Schizosaccharomyces pombe: one gene and its partner. The protein of the gene in region 1 interacts with the protein of each later gene in a pairwise test. Each region holds a gene or a part of one and is shown on either strand. Other genes may lie near its edges. The genes, in order: but1 and uba3.

Region 1 (3,834 bases):
AAGTGTCGTCAAGTCAAGGAAAAAAGGATCAGAAAACATATCAAATTTTATGGAAAAAACTAAAGCAATTAAACAAAAATCACGTAGGGAGCCCTCAAAATTTGAAAGATCATTGGCACGCCCATTGTGCATTACACCTATTGATTCGTCTACTCCCACAAAGACAGCTACGTTTTATACTTCATCTACAACTGAAAATCTAGATGAGCTAAATTTTTCAACAGAAGAATTATCAAGTTTTGACACTACTTTGTTAAACTCAGATACGAGCAAATTGTCTGGGCTTGACGATAGTAGTTTTATGGAAGAGGAATTTGTATGGCAAGTTGACAACGTTTTGCAGGAATGTGAAAAAAAATTTACTCCTCATTCAAAGGGAAGTTATTTAAAAGAGAATTTAAAGTCAGAATTAAGGAAGGGTCGTTTGGATGAATTGATGTGTGAAAATACCGCCTTAAAAGAAAAAATTGATAAATTAAATAAGGAATTAGAGAAAGTTGAACCTCAGTTGACATTCCTTCGCAGTAAAAACAGTATTGAAAAACCTCGGAATTTTAGGCGTGAAAAGTTTCTCAAAAAATTCTTGGCTATGCAGAAAGAAATAAAGTATCTAAGAAAGCGAAAGTTGCAAATTCGAAAGATTCCTAATTATAAGTACTCTGATCGAAGTTTGAATTCCAAAACTCCTAAAAGCCAGGACAACTGGACTACACAAGTTACACCATCTAGTCTCCTTGGGGTCTCAGAGGTTTCTAAGGTTTTGCAATTAAAACAGGTTCAGGTCGACATAACTGAGCTTGTAAAAATTCCTAAAAACCCGTTTTCTGAGAAATTGACAATATCTAACGTGAATAGATACTTAAATATTGTACCGGGAAGTTTGGATTTACAATTTTCATTAACAAATGAAAATTTTGTACATTGGAATAGCACAGTTTATCAAGAATTATTAAACTTAAAGTCCAACAACTCTTCAGTGGATGGTGTGAAGACAAGAAGGCAACTGTTGGAGGAAAATGCTTTGTTGTCTCATAAAGTATTAAAACTAACAGAAGAAATTCAAGACTTGGAAACTTTGAATCAGCTAAACACTGAAATAGAAGCAAGACAATCGGAAAAGTTAAATGAGGTGCAAGAGGAAACTCAAAGGCTATCTCAGTTACTAATATCTTCTCAACCTGCTTTGACAGAAGTTAAACATTTGAAACTATGCTTATCAGACTCTCAAGAGGAATTATTGCAATTAAATGCAAAACTTGAGAAAGCAAATATTGTAATAGACGAGTTAAACAGTGCAAAATTGAAACTATCAAAACAAGTGGAGGAGGAAAGTAGTATGAAAGACGACCTTACAGAAATGAACCAACGTTTAAAAGAACAAATTGAATCATACGAGAATGAAGTTAACTCTGAAATCACTTCTAGAACATTGAAAGAATTTGAAACATTAAAGACACAGTATGAGAAAAATCTTTGTAATTTAAGAGAACAGCTAAAGACCGCAAGGATGAAACTGGCCGATAAATATCCACAAGGTGACAATACTAGTGAAAATATAGACTGGCTCAAACACAGTTTACGGGATTCTAATACTGAAAACTCAATTCCAAGCCCATTGACCTTTGCCTGCAAGGAGATAAGAAAATTAGTTGCAGATATTAAACCCGTTTCAGTAGAAAAGCAGCTGGCCTTGAATTGGAAAAAAGATATCGAGCGACCCAGTTTTCATCACAATCAACAGCTATTTAATTATTGTCAGTTAACAGACATTCTTTCCAAAAAATGCTAATCTTTTAATGAGATATATAATTCAATTTATTAATAGCCGCCGAAAATTAGCTTCTAATCTTAACTGCCATATTTTAACGAATTTATCATTAATGTACTGTATGGTGTTGCTTTAAGTTTAAGATCGACTTGTAACCTCTTTTGTGACCTGTTATGCATTAACGAAATATGGGGTTGAGTATTTGATTGGTTCATGTTTGTATTAAACTAACGTACTTTTGGCCAATTAGATCGACTTTGAAGATTAATTGTCGACGTGAGAATCATGTAAATAAACAAGTTTACTTACCCTAAACCAACCACTTTAAGAGTGGGAAACTGCTTGTTTCACATTGCACGGTAGCGATATTATTTTTTTTTGTTACCTTTTTTCTATTAAAGCGTATCAAGCGTTTCTTCACCTTCTTGCAGAGAAAGGGTTAGAAAATGGAAATCGACCAAAACCTTTTCCAGTTTCCCATTTCGACTCGTGATGCTGTTCACGAGAAAAATTGTACTTTAAGAGTTAAATCTACAAAAAAAAGAAGAAGCTCTACGAAAGATGAAGAAACGCGTGGTATGCATCCCCATATAAAGAGTTCGTTTAGGAACGGAATGAACCATGCACGTGTCATTAGGGAAGAAGATATGGAAGTAGTATTTGAACCATGTTTCATTAATCTTTCCAAACCCGTTTACGTTGTAAATGGTATCGGTGGAATAAATGAAATTCATAAATTACCTATACTATTCTCTTCATTTGTTCTCTGTTTCTTTGGTAATGTCAGCGGTGATTATGGTTATGTTGACAACGTCCCACTTCACATATCTGTCATTAGTCACTTTTATCCATGTCTGCAATCCTACAACACAGATGTGATTGGTATCACTACTGATACGGTTGAAAATATATGTCAATGGAAAGCCCATCTGCCTCGTGCTCTACAATTTTCATTACCAGTTATTTCGGATTCTAACAATGAAATTTGTAGAGAGATGGGAATGCTGCATCCTCTTGGAGGAGCAAAATTAGCTTTGGATGCAATTGTAATTATAGATTCCATAGGGCGTCGACGCGACATCCTTCCCATTCGTACTACCACTTGTGTATCTACTTTAATAACAGCAGTTCAAGAAACTGTTCGATTTTTGGCAATTGAAAATGGAAGGTTGCTTTAAAAGCCTTCTATGATGATCACTCGTTCAAAAAAAAAATGACAAACAAAAATTTTTTTACGTTTCAGCAAAAGTTGATGATATTGTCACACATAAAACCACAAAACATGGGTTCAATGGAATAGAAAATACTTTCTATAAATACATATATATATATTTAATATTTCACAAAATAAATTACAATGTACCATAAATTATGCTGTCAAAAATTTACGATAAGGTACGGATGGGTATTTATTAAATTTTTCAAAAAAAAAAAAAAAAAAAGTGTAAGGAATAATTTATTAAACTATGATATCTTTAACAAAAAAAATCAATGAACCAATAAATTAAATAAATAAAAAAGTCAACTCTGATTATCAAATTATAAACATCACCGATATCAATTTCAATCAGTCAATAAATAATTTGGCATATTCTTTTTGAAGCATTTACTTTTTCAGAACAAAGCCAAGCTGATAGATTTTAGTTTAAATTCCTCTATTCAAATAAAAATGACAGTGCAGGCTTCTATAGTATTATTTTGTTCAAACAAAAGTAATCAAAATTTGAGTAATAAAAAAAATGCAAAAATTAAAAATAATCAAATATTCTCTCCCTCCGGGATTCGAACCCGGGCTGCAAGCGTGACAGGCTTGTGTACTACCCCTATACTAAAGGAGATCGTTGTAAACTAATCTTTATAATTATATATATTTAAGAAATATAATTATATGATATAATTACAGTTGGTTTATTCTTGTGTAAACCTACCAAAATTAATTTTGGACATTTGAAGCATAAAAATATTGAAACTATTAGTCTTCTAGATGTTGGTTTATAATATTTTTATCGAAATCGTTCAAACAATTTCATGCTAGTGAATTGAGATCTTAGTTGCAAAAGTGTCAG
Region 2 (4,500 bases), 4.1 Mb from region 1:
GGTAGTGGGCGAAAGAAAATTATGCAAGTGATGGTGCATGGACTTTTAATAGTAAATGCTCATCTCCAATTAAAAAGCCTTGAGGTTCTGTTTACATTGGCGATATTGCGCTGGCAAATGCAAAGCCAGAATTAGATATTACCAGCATTTTTCACCTATTCTCCCTTAACACTGTCCAATCTCGTGAATTTGCGTCTCGCAATTTCAGATGTAAACAAATATTGAAACTGCGACGCATACATGTCACTTTGCTATTGTAAAACAGGCAGATCCCACACCCAGGTAAAATAAGAACCGAAGCAAAATTATGATAACGTTAAAAGGATTCATTTAGGAAAGGATAAACATAGTTAGTCACTAGCAAAAGAGAGAAAAACGAAATCATCCTTCTTTCGCACAATAACGAACTCATGCAATTCTTGCTGGTTGTTAAGGACATAGTGAAGTACAAGTGTTAGTGATATAATTCAAATTGAGATAATAATTTCATAAAACACGGACTTTCACTTATGTGACAATCATTCGCTAACTCGGTTTCATGTCACACAAAAAGCCACCATCGACTTAGTCGGGAGTGTAATATTTACACATTGGAACATGTTAAACGACATCGTTAAGCAACAGCGAGTGTCTTTACCGGACTTTTCACCAAAAAAATTTCGCTGCCCTATCTTGTACGCACGCAGAATAAAGCATTTCCAGCCAGTTATTGAACGCGCTAAAGTGTTGTAAAGGTCAATCTCGGATTTCATAAATTTCACCAATAAAGAAAAACCAAATTGCACATCATGTCAACGAAAATGACAGCTGGCTTTACACAGCCTCATATACTTAGTAGGTAATAATGATATGAGAGAGCATGGTGTAAGTAAAAAAAAAAAGGAATTTAGAATTTAATATTCTATGCTTGTAGTATATGTAATCACATACGTATGTGAGCAATCATTTTCTACCTGCAAGTTTTCTAGGTTTAAGGTTTTTTTCTTCGCTTTCTATTCAAATGTGTCATAGTTTCGCACTTACATGTAAACCAACATTTTCGAGCTATATTGTATGCAGCAGAAATGTAAATAGAAATATTTAAACTACACGTTTAAGTGTCAATTATATAAAAAAGAAATGTACAAAATTATTCAAGCAAAAGGTGATTTTTGTTTATTCATGCTATTTTAACCATCGGTTGCTTGGATGAAACATTTTCATTAATACTTGATTTCTTGATGTGACGGACATTCCTCTGTTCTCGTGTGCTTTTGTTCTCGACTATTACTTAACCATACTAGAAAATGATGAGTATTGTCGTTTTACAATATAGACGCAATACTGTAAACAACACCAGTATATAGGTAAACTGAAGATGAGTTGAGAACGAGACTCCTCCAATATAACTTACGTCTCTTTTGCTACGTATTCGTTGCATTTGCTCAAATGCGTTCTTGGAATGTATACGTTTGCGTAAATTAATCAACCCAGTTCGCCCTGAATAATTTCAAAAACTATGCGCAAATAGTTTATTAATAATATCAGATTATCCAACGCATTTGTAGAGCAAGTATTAATCTATGCAAACTCATTTGTGGGATGGAGCTTTTGCGTTGGGGTGTTAGTATATCCATTTTTTCTATCAGCTTTTTATTCTTAGTCAATTTATGCCAATACAAAAGCCAATTTCAAATAAAATGAAAAAAGACGTTTATTCAACTAATTCTGCTTTGGTAACCTAGTATTGTCATTACGAAGTGAAATCAGTTACTCTTCTGTTCTGCGTGTGTCGGTAGGACTGTTACTTACACCTATATCACATTATTACATGTTAAAAAGTATCTTCCAACTTTCATACTCCATTTCATTATCCTCTTATTAAATGAGTAGCCATATTTCCTGACAGCATTGGAGTATTTTCATACACAAATTCCTTTTCTGTTTACATGTAACGAATATTGGGAACAAAGCCAACCTCCAACGCATTTCGTTGACATTAATAGAGAATACAAATTCTTGACTCAGAAATTTTAAGAAATACTTCAAAAAACGATTATTTTTTTGTAGGAGATGCCCTCCTCAGACGTATGTAAAGCTGGTAGTCACAGGCATTCTGGATGGATCCAAAGTCTCAAAAAACCAGGGCCTTTCAACTTGGATGCTCCAGAAAACCCTGAAGAAACTCTTAAGTCTGCCTTTTCTTCTAAAATCTTAATTATTGGTGCTGGTGGTCTAGGATGCGAGATTTTAAAGGATTTAGCATTATCTGGATTTCGAGATTTAAGCGTAATCGACATGGATACTATTGACATTACAAATTTGAATCGACAATTTCTATTTAATGAAAGCAACATTGATGAGCCGAAAGCCAACGTTGCCGCATCAATGATTATGAAACGAATCCCTTCTACGGTAGTAACACCTTTTTATGGGAAAATTCAAGACAAAACAATTGAATTCTATAAGGAGTTTAAACTTATTATATGTGGCCTTGATTCAGTAGAAGCTCGACGGTGGATCAATTCAACTCTCGTGGCCATTGCTAAGACAGGAGATCTTATACCGTTGGTCGATGGCGGCTCAGAGGGCCTTAAGGGTCAAGCCCGAGTAATCATTCCAACGATAACAAGTTGCTATGAATGTTCATTAGACATGCTTACGCCTAAGATTTCGTATCCCATATGTACATTGGCGAATACTCCTCGATTGCCGGAGCATTGCGTCGAATGGGCATATTTACTCGAATGGCCTCGAGTTTTTCTTAATGCTTCAGTTGATAGTTTTTCTAAGCAAGAAGTTTTTGAACCGCTGGATGGAAAAAATTCCAATTTTGAACCAGATAATATCCGACATATTGACTGGCTCGTAAAACGTTCTATCGAACGTGCCAATAAATTTCAAATACCCTCTTCCTCAATCAATCGTTTTTTCGTGCAAGGAATCGTAAAGCGTATCATACCAGCGGTTGCGTCGACAAATGCCATAATTGCCGCGAGCTGTTGTAACGAAGCATTAAAAATTTTGACGGAAAGCAATCCGTTTTTGGATAATTACATGATGTATGTCGGTGAAGATGGAGCGTATACATATACATTTAATTTGGAAAAGAGATCAGATTGTCCTGTTTGCGGCGTATTGTCTGAAGTCTATGATATTTCAGCCTCATCTACCGTTACTTTAAAGGATATTTTAAATCATTATTCTAAATCTTATAATCTACAAAATCCTTCGGTTTCAACAGCTGCAGGAACCCCTCTGTACTTGGCTTCACCTCCAGCTCTTCAAGTTGCGACATCTAAAAATTTATCTCAACCTATATTAAGTATTACGTCGGTTGATGTGAACCTTGTAATTACTGATAAAAATCTTTCTACAAGTTTGTCTGTTCAGTTGAGAGAATGCTAGATTTGATGTTTATCAATCGCTAATAGACTGTGGATATTTTTGTGTAGAATAGCAGTTTCGCTGCATTTCAATATACTTATAAATTGAAAAGAGATATCACTAAAGAGATAGAGAATCTGCTTCACGCTCCTTACTATAATTCCTTGCTTATTTATAGTTATGTCATTTCAACTTTGTTTCAATGTCTTCAGTTTAACGACATCTCAAAAAAAATATATAAGTTGAAAAGATCTTATTTAATTTTAAAAAAAGAAACAATTAAACCAAATCAAAGTTATTCAACTCTAAATTACAAATCTACAACAGACAACAAACACGAAACGTATGCATACAGTTAGGTATTTAGCATATATAAGCATGCAATGTGCAAAGTATATTGCAAAATAGAAAGTAAATCAAATGCTTTAAGTTAATTTTATTTGCCTTTTTTTATGCTATTAATTTTATTGCTACGAGCATTGTCATTGAGTGATAAAAACATGCACTGCCCTTTGTTTAGGCATTTGCGACATTACTTTTCCATAAACAATTATTTTGATTCATGTTGCAAAAACATGACTTTTAACGACCGAATTTTCAAAAATTTTCATCGGAATAAAACAAGCGATATCATTTAGCAATAACATCAACAGAATTAGTATTTGCTCAGCAGCTATTAAATCCGCCTAAATAAAACAAGTTATTACATTTTCAAATAAATAGAAATTAAAAATCGTTCGAAACAAAGCAATAAGTCTTTTTCCCAAAAAAAAAAAAAATCGATAAATAAATTAAAATTTTCATTTTTGTAATTATTTTATTCGTTTACGTAGGTATACAGTAGAAAAACATGATTTTGCTCTCAACGGATATTTGACCGTGGACATACATTATTGACGCTTTTCTTACTACTAAGAGCCGGTTGACATCGACTTTCCATGAATGGAATCCCAATCTCGGAGACGAGAAAAACCGCATGGTTTATTATCAACTTTTCGCATTTATGACACTAAAATTGTTGCTTATGATAACGTAGAGAGGGATTTGTTGCTGCTGATACTCACTGGGGATTTACCGCTATCAATAGAATGGCTCACTAGAAAAACAATTATTTCACTGATCCGCCTGCAATTA

What was found.
Region 2: the proteins of but1 (region 1) and uba3 interact in a two-hybrid assay, tested with the Schizosaccharomyces pombe proteins (one study listed by BioGRID).

The regions. Positions count from the first base shown.
Region 1 is NC_003424.3:4,532,629-4,536,462, reverse strand, and holds but1 (thioredoxin family protein But1), read left to right. Parts: upstream 1-2,075; 5' UTR 2,076-2,214; coding exon 2,215-2,946; 3' UTR 2,947-3,137; downstream 3,138-3,834. Other genes in the region: dynactin microtubule-binding subunit, p150-Glued Ssm4, read left to right, coding at 1-1,789. UniProt on the Schizosaccharomyces pombe protein: Acts as a negative regulator of the NEDD8 pathway. Has a role in meiosis.
Region 2 is NC_003424.3:459,887-464,386, forward strand, and holds uba3 (NEDD8-activating enzyme uba3), read left to right. Parts: upstream 1-1,829; 5' UTR 1,830-2,052; coding exon 2,053-3,387; 3' UTR 3,388-3,713; downstream 3,714-4,500. UniProt on the Schizosaccharomyces pombe protein: Catalytic subunit of the dimeric uba3-ula1 E1 enzyme.